Caenorhabditis elegans: one gene and its partners. The protein of the gene in region 3 purifies or fractionates together with the protein of the main gene of each other region. This does not show direct contact. Each region holds a gene or a part of one and is shown on either strand. Other genes may lie near its edges. The genes, in order: ttr-48, cpn-4, T21H3.1 and gst-1.

Evidence for each region.
Region 1: the proteins of T21H3.1 (region 3) and ttr-48 fractionate together in Caenorhabditis elegans (co-fractionation; one large-scale study listed by BioGRID). This does not show direct contact.
Region 2: the proteins of T21H3.1 (region 3) and cpn-4 fractionate together in Caenorhabditis elegans (co-fractionation; one large-scale study listed by BioGRID). This does not show direct contact.
Region 4: the proteins of T21H3.1 (region 3) and gst-1 fractionate together in Caenorhabditis elegans (co-fractionation; one large-scale study listed by BioGRID). This does not show direct contact.

What each region holds. Positions count from the first base shown.
Region 1 is NC_003284.9:3,839,904-3,844,739, reverse strand, and holds ttr-48 (Transthyretin-like family protein), read left to right. Parts: upstream 1-2,291; 5' UTR 2,292-2,292; coding exon 2,293-2,384; intron 2,385-2,429; coding exon 2,430-2,527; intron 2,528-2,571; coding exon 2,572-2,644; intron 2,645-3,475; coding exon 3,476-3,557; intron 3,558-3,606; coding exon 3,607-3,756; 3' UTR 3,757-3,871; downstream 3,872-4,836. Other genes in the region: Homeobox protein ceh-18, read left to right, coding at 1-302, 347-413, 463-521.
Region 2 is NC_003279.8:10,923,132-10,927,989, forward strand, and holds cpn-4 (Calponin-homology (CH) domain-containing protein), read right to left. Parts: upstream 2,620-4,858; 5' UTR 2,616-2,619; coding exon 2,502-2,615; intron 2,034-2,501; coding exon 1,951-2,033; intron 1,588-1,950; coding exon 1,461-1,587; intron 1,402-1,460; coding exon 1,324-1,401; intron 1,272-1,323; coding exon 1,209-1,271; 3' UTR 1,109-1,208; downstream 1-1,108. Other genes in the region: F49D11.2 (F-box associated domain-containing protein), read left to right, coding at 1-129, 185-353; F49D11.7 (Cysteine-rich transmembrane CYSTM domain-containing protein), read right to left, coding at 450-513, 629-768; F49D11.10 (WD_REPEATS_REGION domain-containing protein), read right to left, coding at 3,958-4,224.
Region 3 is NC_003283.11:1,174,603-1,179,669, reverse strand, and holds T21H3.1 (Fungal lipase-type domain-containing protein), read right to left. Parts: upstream 2,947-5,067; 5' UTR 2,946-2,946; coding exon 2,574-2,945; intron 2,526-2,573; coding exon 2,400-2,525; intron 1,315-2,399; coding exon 967-1,314; intron 917-966; coding exon 845-916; 3' UTR 806-844; downstream 1-805. Other genes in the region: F25A2.1 (Fungal lipase-type domain-containing protein), read right to left, coding at 1-41; ptr-16 (SSD domain-containing protein), read right to left, coding at 4,856-4,905, 4,959-5,067.
Region 4 is NC_003281.10:9,057,080-9,061,015, reverse strand, and holds gst-1 (Glutathione S-transferase P), read right to left. Parts: upstream 1,686-3,936; 5' UTR 1,660-1,685; coding exon 1,525-1,659; intron 1,471-1,524; coding exon 1,383-1,470; intron 1,335-1,382; coding exon 931-1,334; 3' UTR 835-930; downstream 1-834. Other genes in the region: lin-12 (lin-12/Notch intracellular domain), read left to right, coding at 1-104, 492-614; cls-2 (TOG domain-containing protein), read right to left, coding at 2,390-2,572, 2,624-2,752, 2,795-3,235, 3,461-3,844, 3,889-3,936. UniProt on the Caenorhabditis elegans protein: Conjugation of reduced glutathione to a wide number of exogenous and endogenous hydrophobic electrophiles. Prevents dopaminergic CEP neuron degeneration in response to Mn(2+).

The DNA of each region.
Region 1 (4,836 bases), on a different chromosome or scaffold from region 3:
CAAATTCAATCTCTTCTGTTACTGCTAGCAGTCTTCTTAGCAGAGAGCAGCATGTAAAACGAAGGAGAAAGAGGACGAATTTGGATATGAATCAGCGAAATGCTCTGGACACTTTTTTTGCGCTGAACCCACGTCCCGACCATGATAAGATGACAGATATTGCAAACTCTCTAGAGCTCGACCGGGATGTTGTAAGGGTATGGTTCTGTAATCGTCGTCAAAAGATGAGAAGAGTCGATGAGCCAATTGAGGGAGAAATGGTAACACCGTCTGTTAGTCCTGTCTTCCCGCATTTTTCATCTGTAAGTCAATTGAATTTTACTATTTTACTCATTATGTATTTCAGATGAGTGCGCTGGAGCAAATTCAAGAAGCCGCTAGGTTAGCTTCTTGTCAAGCCAGCAATGATGACAGTGAGTTGAAAATTTCATCAAGCTCACATATAAAATTAATTGTCTACAGGTGACGGAACATCCGGAAGCCCAGATGCACCATCCAATGACGGCTGCTCGGATCTATAAACTCCAGTTCACTTGTTCACTCTCAAGTTCACTCTCTGTCCACATTTTCCTTATTCATTACCTCAACATTTTGCGTCATTACGGTAATCAAGAGCGTTCAAAGCAGTTCAAGCAGTTTTTTTTTCAAATCTCTGCATTCTTTCTTCAAAATTCAAGCATAACATTTTCGATTGCACACATAATTTCTCATTTTCCCCCCATTCCGGTTGACTGTTCTATTGCCCGGTTTCTCGTCTGATAGCAGTATGTTGCATTTACAACTCTTTTATTCGCTTTTCAAATACCATATGCTCAGGTTTTTTGTCCCGCTGTTTCTTTTTTCTTTCTGATTCGCACGTTTGATTTCTCGGATCCCGTAGAACTTTCTAGCCTAATAAAATTATTTTTTTTTGATGTGCTCCACACAATTGAGCAGCTTCTCAGATGCGGTTAGTAACTCGATTTTCATGGTCTTTTCTGCCATTCACCCTCACCTAATTTCACAGCTTCTCTCGTTTTGACTAGTCATCAAAACGAATACACACCATTCTTTTTGTACGCTGAAAGTTCATGTTTTTCTCAGAGTGTTTTTGCCTTTTTGTGTATCTATGATAATTGTACGTTCCGGTGAGATTTCTAGGTTGTTCATCTCATTCTTTCCCGATAATTGCTTGAAACCCACCGACACACTCCGTTTGAATATTCACCTCCCCATTCTTCCTGGTGCATAGTTACGATATATTCAATTGGAACTGCTGGTTTCGATTTTTAAAACCCGGAGCTTTTCTTCTGATAGGGTCAATTTTTGTATGTAACTTTTCGAGAACAGTTTTATTTTTTCGCATAATTTTTTGATAAATATTGAACACTTTCAACATTTTCCAGAAAAATTTAATTTCAGATACAGGTATTTTTTGTGAATTTTCATCAAAATTTAAGTGGAGTCACCACAAGTTAGGTGTGGTATGGTTTTGTAAAAATTTGTTTTAAAAATAATTAAAAGTGTTGTATGTTGTATAAATGTTGTTTTTTTTTTGGAAGTCGCCTATCAAAAAATTGTTTGAATAGGTTGGCTATGACATTTGGTCATTTTTGCATCATAGCTGGCACCATGGTTTTTTAAAAATGTCGCAGCGTCTAGAAACTAATTTTTGTCGTCCAATTTTGGTTACAACATTTTGGGTATAACTCTGCGACATTGACAAGTCGGTCAAATTTCAAATTATTCTAATTTTAGGCTATTTTTTGAGCTGTAATAACTATTTTTAATAGTTTTCAAGAAGTTTCATTATGAAATTCGGTGTTTTCAGACAATTTTAAATATAATAAACAAATAAAAGAAATTCGACTACACCACCTTTAAAACTCCAAATCACGTCAATAGATGTATTTGTTCTTATTTGTGTTGAACCATATGTTGAATAATCATCAACTGATCATATAATCAATATAAATTGTTTATTTTTCTTTTGAATGAAGAGCCAAAGTGTCCTTATTGTCAATAGCTTCGCGATAAGAGTGATAAGCTAGAATAGTGTTGACCAGTGTTTGGTCTATCAAAACGGTTTAGAAACTTGATAATGAAACTGTACACTGCGACCGTTTCATTTTGATTCTTCCCAAGTGTTTTGGGAAGCGTCGAACATTTTGATCAATATCAATTGGTGTCTACGTGCATCTCTATTGAGAGGTCAGGTGTTCACTGAGCATTTTGTTTTCCGGTATCTTCTTCAATATCCTTTCTATTGATTCATGAATCGCTGAGAAATACGTTTAATTATCACATTTCAGCATGATTTTCATATTTATCGCCGCTCTTCTTTTACCAATTTCATACGTTTCTGCTGGAGCGGATCTTGATGTCCCAACTAACATTGCCAACAGGTAAATTTAATTTTCAATTTTGTAAAAATCAATTTATATTTTTAGAACCATGGCAGTCAAAGGACAACTGTATTGTGGAAAGAAGCCTTTCGAAGGAGCCAAGATCCGACTTTTCAGAACATTTCAACCAAATGCAGCAGATGGTAAGTAAGGTATCAAGTTTTGAGCAAGACCATAATCATGTCAGATCTCGCCGAGCTACTCGACGTAAAGAACACATACATTACGGGAATGTTCCAAGTTGAAGGAGGTACCGCGAGGTTTGTTATTTTTTGCTGAGAAAAGGTTATTTAAAAAGTCAAAAGTTTTCTATTCATGTCTTGCTTATCAATAGTGCCAATAGTGCGTGCATTCGAAATGAAGTGAAGTATGTCAGAATTATCTTGTGCTGAAAACATTATGAGAAGGAAGTTTTACACATTGTTGTAGTGGCATAAATTGGAGAACAGTTTGAAAATACAAGTTCTGAAAGGTGGAGCACGGTCAATGAAAAATAATGGAAACGCATTCATATGACCAAAAACTGACCGAATATCTAAATGAAGTTTTTCAAAAGTTTTGGAATATTTTTTCTAAATAAGCGTAAACTGAGGTTTTACAACTTTTTGACTCGAAATAAATAATTTTCCGAAGTTATTAAAAAACATTTTTTAGCTCCAGAACAATAATGTTTAATCGTTTTCACACTCGCTATTTTTCACCATTACATCGACTGGTTTTAGTATCTTATATAGAAAAAGCAATTCAGACGAACAATTCTAACAATTACAAACTTTTATTTCACTGAATGAATATATTCTTACTCATTTTTTGGGGTCCTTAGAATCTTATCAAAAGTTAAGAGGTTTTTGGGTTTAGAAAAACATTCGGGAAGCTCCTCGATACTTCAAATCTCTACACAAAATATAGAAATTGTGATTCTCATCAAAATTGGAGAGATTTAAGGAAACCAAAGATTTTCAGCAATTTTCGGGACCTCGAAAATAGTGCTAAGTTCAACTGCAACATTTCAGAAATAGCTGATAGCAATTGCCTTGTTTTAAAACCTGGAATTAAGATTAAAATTTTGTTTTTATAAGTTTAACTTTCAGATTCCCACGTACCAAAACCGATATCCAGCCATATGTCACAATTCATCACAACTGCGGAATGGACAATAAGCAAACATCCAATGTAAGTCAAAGACCAGCACTTACGAAACAAAAATCAATTATTTTTATAGTACGGCTACAAACGAATTGGTGTCCGTCTTCCAGAAGATTACGTAACACTCGGAATCAAAGCAAGAAAGGTGTATGACTTTGGAATTCTCAATTTGGAGTTGGAGTTTCCACAAGAGACCCATGATTTGAAGTTCAAATTCACCGATTAAATTTAACTTTTCTTTCACAATTTTTTTCTTCATTATATTTCACATCAAATATTTTGAATTTTATTTAGAAGTTGTTCCCCATGAATGCAATCAGTAAAATTTCTCTTCTCATTTCAAAGCGCTCGCACTCATTTTGTTTTTGTTGTTTGGCACTGGCTGTTGTTCTGTTTTGGAAAACGGATACATCACGCATATCAGATCAGAAAATATGGAGGAAAAGGACGTGGTGTTGAGAAAAATAAAACCACCCAGGTGAGAAAGAGAAGAATCTCACGAAACTTTTCTCATTTGATCTTTGTTCACCGGAGGACAAGCCTTGAAACTGTTCATTTTATGAGAGCTGTTATTGCACGAACCGAAAGAGGGCGGTTTTTGAAAACTGACAATATGGACAGTAAAACTTTTCAGTATTGTTGTGTTCTGTGTTCCGCCGTTTTCGACAACAATTTCCAGTAAGTTTCAATGTTTTGCCGAATTTTCTCTGTATGGAATTTTTATGATACATAATGAATTTTCAAAATGGGGTTGAGCCATTTTTTTAGATAAATAACTGAAACTTTCATACTGTCCAAAAAATTATTATTTTTTGTACACTGAAAAATTTATGCAATACAGTTAGTTTGTGATGCACGCATAGTGGCTTAGAAAGCACACGCGAGCTCAATGATCAATTTTTTGCTAGTCGAAGTGTGTCCCTATGCTGCGAGGTTTATAAGGATATTGAAAACTAACTGACATATCTAGAAAAAACGCCAATTTACAACTCCTTCACAAGATTGTGAAGCAAAATGTTCTAATTTCTTTAAATTTCCCACTCTGAACGCTTCTCAAAAGATAAATCGAATTTTTTGTACTTTGCGAAGCTGTGGCAACTTGCTGGCTTTGCTTTAAAAAACCAATTATACTTTTAAAATGCTCTCTTTTGAGCCACGCATATATTTTTTAATATTTCAATAAAAAATTGGAATTTTTATATGAAGTAAAAAATGAGGGAAAACTCAGTTCTTACTTATAATAATTTCGGAAGTTCGCCAAAAAAAATGTTTACAAACTTTATATTATTCTTAAATTGTATTCATT
Region 2 (4,858 bases), on a different chromosome or scaffold from region 3:
AATTCCAATCCTGCATTTAATAGAGGAGGATTCGAATCCATGGAATATTTTCAAGGATTTGGAAATTTCAGCGTTCGACGAAGGGAAGAGAGCCGAGTATTATAAGAGATATGATTGGGATTTTGAAACGTGAGTTGTAGAAAGAGATTGTCTTTTTCACGATCTTAAAAATTCGAACTTTCAGAAACTGCCTCGGCTCCCATCGTTTCATAAATTGCCAACGAGGAACCGATATCGAACGGGAAGATGGAATGTTGGCTACAATTATCACAGATTCTACATTTTTCTACTTTTTCGTTTGGCACAATCGATTCCCGGAGCAGCCGGATCATGTCCCATATTTGGATAGATAAATTGAATTACAAACATTCCAGGCCATTGATTTTCTGTGATTTATCCATTTTTGAAGATTTGAAGATTTTAAGTTAATTCTACAATAAATGCACATATCAAGAATTCATTGCACAACAACAGAATAGTGCCATACAGCAGGCTCCGGCACAACAGGCTTCTCTGAAATAACAAAAAATTTTAAAATTTTAAAGTATATGTATGTGCAATCGCGCTCTAATAATAAAAGTGGTGGAAGGTTTTATTAAGAAAAGCTTGAAAACAATAAAATACTCACTCCGCACGTGTATCATGTACATAAACTGGTTGAGCAATTGGTTGAACATAAGTAGGCCCATAGGCTGGACCATAGGCCGGACCATAACATGGGTCTCCATATGGTGAACCATAATATGGAGCATATCCTGGTCCATACATTTTCACAATAGAGTTCGAGCAAGTTTATATAATTAGAAATAAAATTTTGGAGAGAGTGCAAGAGCTTGAACTTTTCATTTCACGTTTAAAATTGAAAAGAAAATAAAATTTATTATCCTATGACAACAATTCAACTTTTGAAGTTACGCAGTCTATAAGGAGACTCGTAAAAGTACATAGAGCCCCGTAAATCCACATCGAGCGCCGTAAATCTACATGGATCCTCGTAAATCTACATGAACCCCCGTGAATCTACATAGAGCCCCGTAAATCTACATTGAGCACCGTAAATCAGCAGGAAAATCCTTGGCGGCATTGCAGAACTTTTCAGAAAAAATTTGGAAGAAAAATCTTTATAAAAAGTGAATTGGGAACAGAAAGTGAATAAAAGTAAATTTCGAAAAAAGATTGAAGCCGATATGAAATGGAAAAAATTTAAATTATTGATTGACGATTTGGTCCTTGGAAACTTGCTTTGGTGGCGTGATTCCGAGCTTTTCGACCTGAAATTTGGAGTTTTTCAAATCAATTTGCAAATGAAAACCAAATTATTACCTTTCTAGCCAAGCTCTGAAGGGTTACTGTAACGGAGAAAAGGTCACGGCCATCGAACAAGTCGACAGATTGGAATGTCTGAAAAAATGAAGATTTGAATTTTGAACATCGCGCCAAAAGTATATGGTAGATTAAACCTCTTCATCCTTGACTCCGAGACTTCTGGCGGCAGTGGAAAATTGATTAATGTTCTCGAGACAGTTGAAATTGGAAATTGGCTTCATGATCTTCTTCACACTTCCTGCTTTGATGGCGTTGACGAGTCTGGAATAGGGTTACTGTAAATAGCTCATTCGTAAAGCTAGGTGCTCCGTAAATCTACATAGTTTTGTAAGCCGTAAACCTACATGAACTTTCGTAAATCTACATGAACTTTTCGTAAACTTTTCGTAAAAACACAAAGTCTGGTAAAGACAGTTTTTTTTAGAGACTTTATTGTTCTAGGTTCTAGGAAAATAGGATCCAAAGTGTTCAAACAAACATAATCACAAAACAGAAAATAAAATCTCAAAATCACATCACCTTAAGCTCACAGAGCATCTCACATTTCCCAAACAGTTCGTGATTATTATTGACATTTTGCATCCCCCAACTCTACGTACAAATAGACAAAAAAAAGACACTCACTTGCACAATCGTTGCCCGTCTTTGAGCTGCTCGCGAAAATTGTCCCGAGATGCTTCACAGTCGAAATCCTCTTTTGTCAAGTCCTGAAAAGAATTTGAAATTATATTGGTGTTTTTCAGGGGGATGAGTAAATCTTGAAGAAACTCTGTAAATCTACAAAAGGCTCCGTAAATCTACAATAAATTGTGAATACTACAAAAGCTCCGTAAAGCTACATGAATCATCGTAAATCTACGCATATATCTGTAAATCTGAAGCGGCAATTCTACACTTAACTTTATAGGCTTACATGGAGTTTTGTAAATCTACCTGATATCTATGTACAATGTTATCACGTATATCTACCTGAACTTGCATAAATCTACACAGAGTCTTGTGAATCTACATTTCACTGACCGTAAGTATACACTTAACTTTACAAATCTATGTGGAGCTTCGTAAATCTACATGTATATATGTAGACATTAAACTTTTGTAATTCCATATAAAGTAAAACTACATCACTCTCTAGTAAATCCACACTGAACTCCGTAAATCTACCCAAATCTTACCCGAATCCATTCCAACAAGTATCCAGCTTCAACATCATTGAACTTGCTTGCCTGTTTGTCCAAAATGGCTCCGGCCATACCGGCTGGTCTTGGTCGATGATAACTTTGTGACATTTTTGCTAGAAAGTCTCAAATTTTAGGCAAAAATTTTCAACAAAAAGTAGAGTATAAAAGTATAAATCAGTAAGAAAAATCAAATTTCGAAGATTTTCGAAACTTAAAACAAAGGAGGTGGCAAAACTGGTTGTGCCTGTCTTGTTGCTCGTCGAGCTCTGACTCTAGGATCTTGCTCACCGAGCTCCTATTTATATTCTTGACTAAACTGTCTGCGTCTCGTCGAATCTGTACACTATTTCCAAAAGGTTAGTGTTGATTTTTGCGCGTGTGGGTGGACGCTAGAGCCGACTCATCCGCGGGAGGTGAGCCCCCGAATTTCAATGGGCGGAGTCAGAGCCCCAAGGAGGGGATGAATTTCGAAACAACAAGAGAGTGAGAGCTCGAGCACAGAACATTCCAGAACGTTTTTTCGTTTTTTTTTTTTGGAAGGGAACGGTTGAAAGTGATTGACACTTGAGAGAGAGATGGGGGATACACAAAAACCTGTATTATTGACCTATTGACTCTTTGCAACTTTTGAGCAACTCAACTGTGTCTGTGTTGAAAGTGAAGTGATAAATTTGAAAAATAAAAGTAAATGTTAGTATTTGCCATCATTCTCTAGATATTAAATCTTTAATTGCTGATAAAGCCCGATTGAAAGTAGGCCTAGAGTTGGACTTGCCAGTAGGCTTAGATTTAAGATTAGGCTCAGGCTTGAGCTTAGGCTTAAGCTTGGGCTTGTCTGGTTTAGGCTGATATTCAAAATTAGGTTTAAGCAAGGGCTTAGGCTTAGGCTCAGGCAAAGGCCCGATCCTAATTTCCACCTCTACTTCTACTGGTTTCTTTGGAGTTTCTGTAGACTTCACAAGAAATTTTATGGCCTGCCTAAGCCTAAGACCAAGCTCAGGCCTAAGTCCAGGCCTAAACCTAAGCCTAAACCTACGCCTAAGCCTACACCTAAACCTAATTTTAGGCCTAAGACTAAACATGAGAAAAAGCCTAAGCCTACGCCTATGCCGATTACGGTAGTTGACAGTCTGTGCATTTTCGCGAAACGTGTGTACTTCTCTCGGACAAGTTTAATATTTCATTGAAATTTTTTCTGTTTTTTTAAGGTACGTTTTGAAAGAAAATCATGCAAAATAAATAAAAATTTAAAAAAAACGAATTCATGAACAAATAAAATCAACAACGATAACAAATGTGTGTGTGTGATAACAAAAGGATTGTAGCATATGTGGAAGGGAAAAAAATTGAAAAAAAGAAAGGCAACAATAAAAAATGATTGAAACTTGTGAAAAAAAAAAACCAAAAACAAAAAGAGAGAGCGATGAATCAGAAAGTGTTCTAGATGCTTCTAGACACCACGTACAGGCGGTGGAAGCAACGATTTTTCGATAAAAAGTGGAGCGATGAACGAGATTGGAGGGAGCTGATGAACTGGTCCGGAGAATAAGCGGGCCGCTTCAGGCCTGGGTTGACGGACGAAAGCTTGATCCGATGTGACTGTGGATGGGCCAGCTGTTGATTTTGAGCCAAGTTGTTGGAATGGAGTCTGTGGAACTGCGATCTCTCCTGATCTTCCACTATTCTTGATGTGTGCAGGACGGTGACATATGATTCCCTGGAAAAGGTTAATTATTAGCCTGAATATCGAAAAGAAAAATGTAAAAATGTATAATGCGTTCGGGGGGAATCGAACCCCCGTCGAATGCTTGGAAGGCATCCATGCTGACCATTACACCACGAACGCGACGAAATACTTGCCTCCAGGAAGCCATTATAAAACTGACAGTTGTCGGGGGTCTCTCTTCCGCAACATCAAGCCCATTAAGACCCCGGTTACCCGCCGCGTTCGTGGTGTAATGGTCAGCATGGATGCCTTCCAAGCATTCGACGGGGGTTCGATTCCCCCCGAACGCAGATTTTTTTGGTTTAAAATACGCCAAAATTGTTTGAAAAAACAGTGGACTTTGGCAAATTTGAATTACCGCGTTTTTGTGTCTTAACTCCGCCCATTTTTCTGTGCCGCACTTTGACTTTATTGCAAATTCTTCGTATTTCTCCATTTTTCTTCGAATTTTCAAGCGGAGACACAGTTTTAAATGCTTAAAGTGCACAAAACTACCAAAATTCGAAGAAAAAAATTGAAGAATGAATAATTCGTGTTGAAAACACAAAGTGCGGCACGGAAAAATGGGCGGAGTTTCGAGGAAATTCAGATTTCTCAAAATCAATCGATTTTTTTTTCAAATTTA
Region 3 (5,067 bases):
GAGAATGATTTGCAAATTAAAACGGAGAAAATAAAAAGCATTTTGAATGTCAAATACATTAAATACAATTGTAATTGAAAATTTGCAAACTTAAATAGCTCTGTGAAAAGTGAAAAAAGTTCTGGTTGCAAGTGTGACTTTGTTGTTTGATTTTGGGATTACTGTTGCTCCGAGGCAATTTGTCATTTAACTTTGCTTGGAAATATGACGAACATCACGTCATCTTCAGATTGCTGTCACATTTGTTATCAAGGGAATTACTAGCTATTTATGCTCCGACGCCTGCCTCAAACCTGTACGGAAAAGGGGTGTGCGGCAAATCTCAAAACTTGCCGTGCTCGCCAAATTTTGCAAATCTCTTCTTCCAATATTTGCCGAGCACGGCAAATTCGGCAAATTTGCCGTGCTTAATTAACTCCGAAAATTTGATATTTTTTGATGTTTTTTGGAGCACCGAAACTACTGAATTCTGAATAAAAATCTGGTGTCTGAATAACTTCCGTGTAGTGTGTCTGCTTAAGCATCAAAATAACAACTCAATTTTATGCCATTTTACTAAATTTTTGGGGACAAAATCAATAGTTTTGGCCAAAATTGTATTGTTAAAAAATTTTTGATGTGTGCGGAAAATTTCGAAATTTATCGTGCTCGGCAAATTCGGCAAATCTACTGTTTTGAAATTTGCCGAGCTCGGCGAATTCGGTAAATTCGGCAAATTTGCCGCACATTCCTGGTGCGGACCTCTGCGAACATATGGGAGGCAGGCGCGTAGGCAGGCCCACCACTTCAACTCTGAACCACTGAATCAGTTGTGAACTATTTTATTGTTTAAAACATTGAAAAGTTAGTTCTTGACATTAGCACAATTTGAGTAGCCCAAGTCGCTGACATCAACGTCGAAGTAGTGAAGATGATCCTAAAAAAATAAAAGTATTGGTGAAGTAAAGAACTTTGGACGATTTATACCTTGATAGAAGTGTCTGGAAGAACTTGTCCGTTGGAGCAGAATTCGCTCTCATCGATATCATCGCAAATGTTGTACTTCGTCATTTTCTCCTTGTAGAACACCTCGGCCTTGTGGTGGGTGAATCCTTGCATGTTCTCCTTTGGAAGATGTGGCACCGGGTCGTGGGCGTGGGTGACGCGGAACTTGTTCGTGACGTCACGATCGACGGCGGCCGCGTAGGCCTTGTCTCCGACACGTGGCTGTCCGTAGGTGACGAGTTGAAGCTTCGAGGCGTCGAAGAGCTTGTTGTAGGTGATGTAGGAGGCGGCAAGGGAGGCCATCGCTCCTCCGAGGGAGTGTCCGGTGACCTGAAGTTTTGTAAGTACACGACTTTCCCACGCGTTGTCCGGCGGGCGGTTGTCAATGGAGCGCGAAAAATTCAATGAGGAAGGCCAGAATCCCATGATTTTGAGCCTTGGGAGACGAAAATAAATTTGCAACGGACAATGTTCGAGACCGCGTTTTCTTATGTGGACCACCTTGGGTGCTACACTAAACAGTATTCCGGGAAATGATAGGACTACTTTCAAGAAACCATTGTCACCACGGGATCATCACATGGATCCACAAGGATCTTTTATCCACTGGTTGGGTCCTGCTCATGCGCCAACAAGAATGACACGTGGAGTCAGAAAGTCCCATTTTGCTTTGATCTTCAAAAAATGCGGGAGAGGAGACGCAAACATCTCATCGGATTCCGCATGTTCAAGAGCGTGCTGATGTCACAATTTTTCTGGGAAAAATTCCCGCATTTTTTGTAGATCAAAGCGCAATGAGACAGCCTGACACCACGTGGAATGGGTTTTAAGTTTCTATAACATTTTTGTGGTTCGAGGTTGACCACTGACATTCCCGCGTTTCTGATCTGGACTTCTTATTTTATTTTAAAAAAAAATTTAACGAAGCATTATTGTTACACCTATCAGGCATCAAGGCTTGCGCGACGTACTGTGTAGCTGCACTGCAGCCCACGTGGTGTCAGAGTGTCTCATATCGGCTTGTTCTACGTAGATCTACAGAAAATGCGGGAGAAGAGACGCAGAGTTCTCAACTGATTTCGAATGGTTAAGAACGTGTCGATGTCACATTTTTCTGGGCGAAAATTTCCCGCATTTTTTGTAGATCAAACCCTAATGAGACAGCCTGGGACCACGTGCAGCCGACTTCGATCGAGATCTCAACCAACCCAGCTCATGTCGTCTGCGTCTTCCTGGGGGGTATACTCACTTATATCACAAGTGTAGGAATACACTGTAGAAATGCAACAACCACTTGCTTCATGAACTCGCAAAGTATATTTTGCTAGACTACGATAGCTGTCAACAACACGGGAGCACAGTCTACTTTAACCCCATCAATAATCATTTTCTTATCAGTTTTTACGAATTCTTACCCAAACTTGGAATCCTGGGTTTTGGGCGGCAAGAGTGTTAAAATCGTCCTTGAGTCCGGCGTTCCAGATGTTCAAAAATCCGTCGTTGAAGTACTGGGAGACGACACCTCCAGCAGCCCATGGAGTCTGAAACATGCTTCATTTATTCCGGAGTACTCGAAATTTTAATCTTACGTGATACTCGAAGACAGTCTCCAATCCTTCCAAAATAAGCTGCACATTGTTGTTAGTTCCACGGAACACCACAATAATCGCCTTGTCCTGTGGACTGACGGCGGTGTATCCGACGCATTTGTCGGCTGGGTTGACGTCACAGCGAGCCGTAATGATTCTCCTGATTGAGGCACCGGTGAACGCTTTGTCGAGGCACTGTTGTGGATTCGATCCGTAGGCGGCGCCGGCTGCGAAGAGAATCTTCTTGCGAGCAGTGGCGTCGTTGTATGGGATGGTATAGACGTCGAGGTTCTCTGGATTTTTTGGGGCTTCTGGTAGCACAAAGGCCGAAGCCAGTGGCAGAAGGACTGCAGCAAGCAGTAAGGCTTGCATACTGAAAGAATAATTTAAAGTTAACAAATGAGATGGAAGTTGGAAAATCGTTTTAAAACGTGACACATCTTATTCAGAAACACGTGACGTCACCGAAGTGAAGCCTGTGTGACGTCACTTCGAAACTTAATTTGCCGCAAATTTCGAATTAACATTTAAAACATGATTACTGGGAGAAAAGGTGGGAAAATGACGATACTCTGCTATTCGATTTCTCTTTATTAACTTTCCGTTTTCTTATCACCAATTCCGTTTCAAATATCACACAACCTATAAAAAAGTCGTTGATATGAATGATACCGCTTAACTTGTGCTCTTTTATCAAATTTTCAATCGAACCGGATTACGCAAGTAGTTTAAATGGTCGTTTGATTCCTCGAACCACAAACTAACACTGTAGGAGATGAACAAAGTTCTTGATACTTGAATGTTCAGTGGTGTTAAAAAAAATTCTACACGGGGTTCTGGCCTTCCTCGTTGAATTTTTTGCGCTCCATTGACAATCGCCAACGCGTGGGAATTCCTGTACTCCACACGGACAAATGCATTTAGTTTCACAACTAAAATCGAGCCGCGACACGCAACGCGCCGTAAATCTACCCAAGATATGGCCGAGCCAAAATGGCCTAGTTCGGCAATTTCTTCCATTTCAATTTATGAGGGAAGCCGAAAATCCGTGAATTCTACCTGAAAAATCAAATAATCAAATTTCCGAATGAAATGTTTTTGAAAGGCTGATATTTGATTTGATCAGCAAACTTTAAGAAAATTAAATTTCCAAAAAATGTTGTCAAGCCAACTTTATCCCCGCTTACCTTAAAATTGGAGTTGCACAGGTGGGTTTTTTTTAAATTCTAAATGATAGAATACAGTCTCAATATAACAAATATAACTGTCAAAAAATGTATAAAAATTTTTTAAATTTTTAATGATTTTTTTAAAATTCGAACAGGAAATATAATTTTTTTTTTGAATTCCCGCGCAAGTGAATGACGTCATTTTTTGACACTTTTTGGGAATATTGACTGCTTTTTCTTTACTTTTTCTTTGTTTCATAATTTGACGCATAATTTGTCAAAATTTTCAGACATTTTTCCCAAAAAAACACGTTTTTTTAATGCTAAATTATTGATTTTAGGCCAATTTTGGAGTTTCAGCAAATTTTTTTCATTTGCTGCGCCGAAAAATGTCTGAAAAACATTGTAAAAAATATTGAAAAATTTTTGAAAAATATTGAAAAAATCAAATTTATTGCCCAAAAATGCAAAAATGCCAAAAATGACGTCATTCATTTGTGCGGGAATTCAAAAATAATTCAGCTCTTTTTTTCAAAATTTATAAAATCATGAAAAAATTAGAAATTTTTTGTAAATTTTTTTCATAGTTTTAATTGATATATTAAGACTGTTTTTCGACCATTTAGGGCAAAATTAGCGCAAACGCTACCCATGGCGTCAGGCTGTCCCATCAGGGTTTGATCTACAAAAATGCGGGATTTTTTGCCCAGGAAAATGTGACGTCAGCATACTCTCAACCATGCGAAATCAGTTGAAAAATCTCCGTCTCTTCTCCCGCATTTTTCGTAGATCAAACTAAAATGGGACACTTTGACACCACGTGACGCTAGTCAACCTTTAAAGACAAATCTTCAACAAATTTTATTTTCATCAGTAAGTCACCTGAAGATTGATTTTTTGTGAGTTTTTATTCAGAAAATTTTTAGTTTTTTCTGCAATGACAACTGATTTGCAAATTCTTTTTAACTAATTTATCACAAAAGAAAACTGGGAATGAGACAGACGTCAATGAAGTCGAGCACCCGTAGTTGAGACTTGATAGGAAAACAATGTGGAGAAAAAAAACAACACTAATAAATTACAATTTTGGATCACAATTTTTTTTGGCACATATTAACCGGATCCCCGTTCCTGTGGTAAGGTTCTCAGTTCTGTTGAGTTGCCTGTAAAAATTGTAATTTTTAAATCGAATTCATGTATTACTTTTGACTCTTACTTTTGACTAGAGCTGTCTCACTGTTTCCACTTGAAAAACTGGAAGCCTGTGAAATTTCTCCGAGTTTTTCAGGTTTTTCCGGCTGTATTGAGTCGCCACCAAATAAACG
Region 4 (3,936 bases), on a different chromosome or scaffold from region 3:
CAACACCGTCACCACAGCATTTTATGAATACCACTCATACTACACCGACGAGTTTGAACTATTTGAGCCCAGAATATCAAACTGAAGCTGGAAGCTCAGAAGCGGTTAGTTTTAAGCTTCAACTGAACAGACGGGAAACAATGTAATTTTGCAATTAAAAATACGGTACCCGGTCTCGACACGACAAAGTTTTGTTAAATAGAACGTGCGCCTTTTAAGAATACTGTAGTTCGAATCTTGTGTTTTTGCGGATTTTTAAGTCTTTCCAATCTAAATAAGTGTTATGGTTTAAAAGTCTGGACAACAATAAAATCACATAAATGTAACAAGGAAATTCCGCAGCAACAAATGTTTGAAATTACAGTAATCTTTAAAGGCGCACACCTTTTCGCATTCAATAGAAATTTGTCGTGCCAAGACCGTTTTACGCGTATGTGTAATATACAAAGTTCAAATATAACGTACATAAATTAAAATAACGTTACTTTCAGTTCCAACCACAATGTGGAGCATTTGGAAATGGCGAAATGTGGTATACAAGAGCTTCAACATCGTACACCCAAATGCAGAATGAACCAATGACGCGATACTCCGAACCAGCTCATTATTTTTGAATCTTCTGAACAATCGTCATTTATTATTTAAATTCCTTATTTTCTAGAGCTATACGGGTTTCCATCTAAATTTTGCATAAGACTTGATGTTCTTTTTTTTGTTGCATTTCTTGATTGTATATGGGCTTACGGGTTGAAATGTTTTGTTGAATGTTACATTAATAAAAATTAGTGAATAATTTTCCGAGTATTGGCTCCACGAACGACTGAAACGATGTATGGGAAGCAGAGATTCATTGGAAGCTTTAAGGAAGACAATAAATTATATCAAACTGGAATTTTTGATGATTGCAAAATGAGAAAAAATTGAATTAGCTTATTGTTTTCCATTTCCATTTACTGGTGGGTTGATAGCAGCTCTCTTGTTGAGATATGCCTTGATGTTTGGACGCTCAGCGAATCTCTCGTGGAACTTCTTGAGTGCTGGAACACCATCAAGAGCATTTGGTGTGAGAATCAAATGAATGTCGAGCTCCTCGAACAGCACATAATCCGCATAGCTTTCCTTGTCTCCAATAACGTAGTGCTCTCCGTTCTTGTAGGTATGGAAAAGCTTCTCCAGACGAGCGAGCTCTCCTGGAAGAACGTCCTTGATGTACGGAGCCTTGCCGTCTTCGTAGTTTCTGTAGATCATAGTGGTGTACTTGGTGTGCAAATCACGAAGTCCTTCGTAGAACATGTCGATGAAAGTTGTCTCTGTCTCGTTGGAGCCATTGAGCCCTGAAAATTGTTTTATAAGATACCGGAAGAAAACATTTAAATGGTTACCATTAAGACGAGCGAGATGACGGATGATAGCTCCAGATTGAACAATCTCCTCGTCTCCGGATAGAAGACATGGAACCTGGCCGAAGATCTGAAAAATAATCATTTAATAAAAATAAATAAAACTTTGAAAACAATAACTCACCATCTTTGGTTTAATATCAGCCCATTGTTCATAGGTTACACGATGATCCTCGTAGGCAACTTGCTTGTCCGCGAGAAGAAGACGGATTGGCTCAGCGAGTCCGTGGATGTCGAAGTACGTGAGCTTGAGGGTCATATTGAACGAAGTTGAGTGAATACTGACTGAAAACAAACACTTGAAATGTGGAAACTGGTTTTTTTTGTTTTCAAGAGAGAATTAAGAAAAGAAATCGAATGTGAGAAGTGGACAAATAGAACGGCTTTTATAGTTCGTGGAGGTACTAGGGGTGCTAGACGAAACAAGCAAGAGAGAGCACTGGAATGAAAGAGAAAGACAACGTGGCCAGCACGAAAATGATGACAAAAAGTTGTTAAGATGATTACAATTGTTCTGGATGACGTTGAAATGCCAGAGAAGTTTCTAGAAAATTAACAATAGTTTAGTCTTGGCGCCGGTAGCAGATCAGAAAAAACACTGAAACGAGATTACTGTCAACAAAACGTGATGGCTAATTGAATACCGAAAGTTTTTTACCTATTGTTCCAGATATATATTGGCCTGAACGAAAAAACGGTTTTCAACTTATACACAAGAAATAAATTTAAGAAATATTCATATAAAAAATAAATAAGAAAAGAAAATATATAAAAATAAAAATAAGAAATACGGGGGTCGAAAATCATAAGGGACATAAGTCGGGGGAAATTATGCTAAAAGGAGCATAGAGAAAGTGTGCAATACCCGCTCTTGACAAATAAAATTATATTACAAAGTGAAGGGATGAGAGAAAAGGGACGATAAGGTTTTACGGGGGAAATTTGGGATACGAATACGGGGGAATTATGGGCTACATTGCAACGACGAATCATACGTGCGAATGTGAACTGGACGACATTGCCCGATTGACGTAGACTTGGACAAGGTTCAGCTTTCCAGACGACAGATTTTGAAGATGTGGCTCCATTGTCTTCATTCCCAACTTGTTCACCATCGCGACCAGACAGTAGACAGCAGTTTTCCGAACTGCAGACGATGGGGAATCGTAAGACTGCAAAGTAAAAATTTCATTAATGAATTGCGATGTTTGATAAATAGTTACCTTGATCACACATGGCGCCAAATCATCAACCACTGGGCTCAATTCGTCGGCTTGGAGACCTTCAAACAATCTGGTCATCATTTTCAGAACCAAGCTTGCTTTGGGTTCTTGAGCTTTCTCCTGCAAATACTGACAAACAGATTACCTAAATGTAAAAATTCTTGAACTTACCTCATTCAAAATGAGCTGCGAGATGTTAACCACCTTAGCCAGTGGAAGGTGGGTTGCCAGCGTTTTCAAGCAGTCATCAGCGGTCACGTTCATCGTTCCGTCTTGTGAGTTGACAGCAGCATCCAAAACTTTACAGATGGCCATTTCCGTAGAGTCGAACAAGCGCGATGCTTGCGAAGTGCACATCTTTGTCAAAACGCGCAGAGCTACTTTCTTGTTGGCGTCTGATTCGCTTTTGGAGAGCACATCGAAGACAGCGATCAACAGCTTGGCGAAGTTTTGCTCCCAAAGAGTGAATGAGCCTTCACACAACATTGTCTGGATCGACAAAAGTCCTTCGTATTGCTGAGCTCCCATGTCACCAGAGATCTGGGCCAGCTTCGACGCCACGTACTTGCTCTGCTCCGACGTATCGTCAATAAGATGCGTTGTTGAGTTGAGCTGAAAAATAATTTGAAGAAAGAATAGGAGGATGAAACTGACGGTCATTATTGAGCCAAAATGTAGAAATGATTTTTAACGTCTACGAAAAATATACTTTGCTGAACTACGCGCCTTACGTGGCCACTGAAACGAAGAAAGAGGGGGGGGGGGGGGGGGGTTCGAAATCCTCTGACCACTTGTCATTTAAAACCATTTTCTTTTAAATATAATGCTGTTAAATACCTTTAATCGGTCGAATGACTCATTGAAGCTGAGTTCCTCGTCTCTGTGCTGTGAATTCATTTCCGAAGACAGAGGACGAAGTGGTTCCGCATCGACTCGTTTGAAACCCGACGAAATGGCTCTTGTGCTAGGCGATTTTACTGGAGTCATATCAAGATTCCTCGACACGACGAAATCTTCTATCTGCGCAGCTGTAGTAGAAATCGTGGCTCGCACACAGGCCTCTTCAGAAACAGCATCTTGTTGTGGAACGTGTTGATCATGTCCGTGAGACTGAAGAACTTTGTATGCCCAATCGCGATAGTCGGGGTTGAAGTCGTTGAAAAGTGCAGAGAAGTCGGCGTTGTTCAATGCGAAGAGTGAGCAGAGTACTTTCTCGCCATGCTGAAAAATGCATATTGCTAAAATAAAGAGAGAGCTATAATTACCGGGGTGATCAACTGTTCATTCCTCTGATCTGCCATCCACGAAAACAT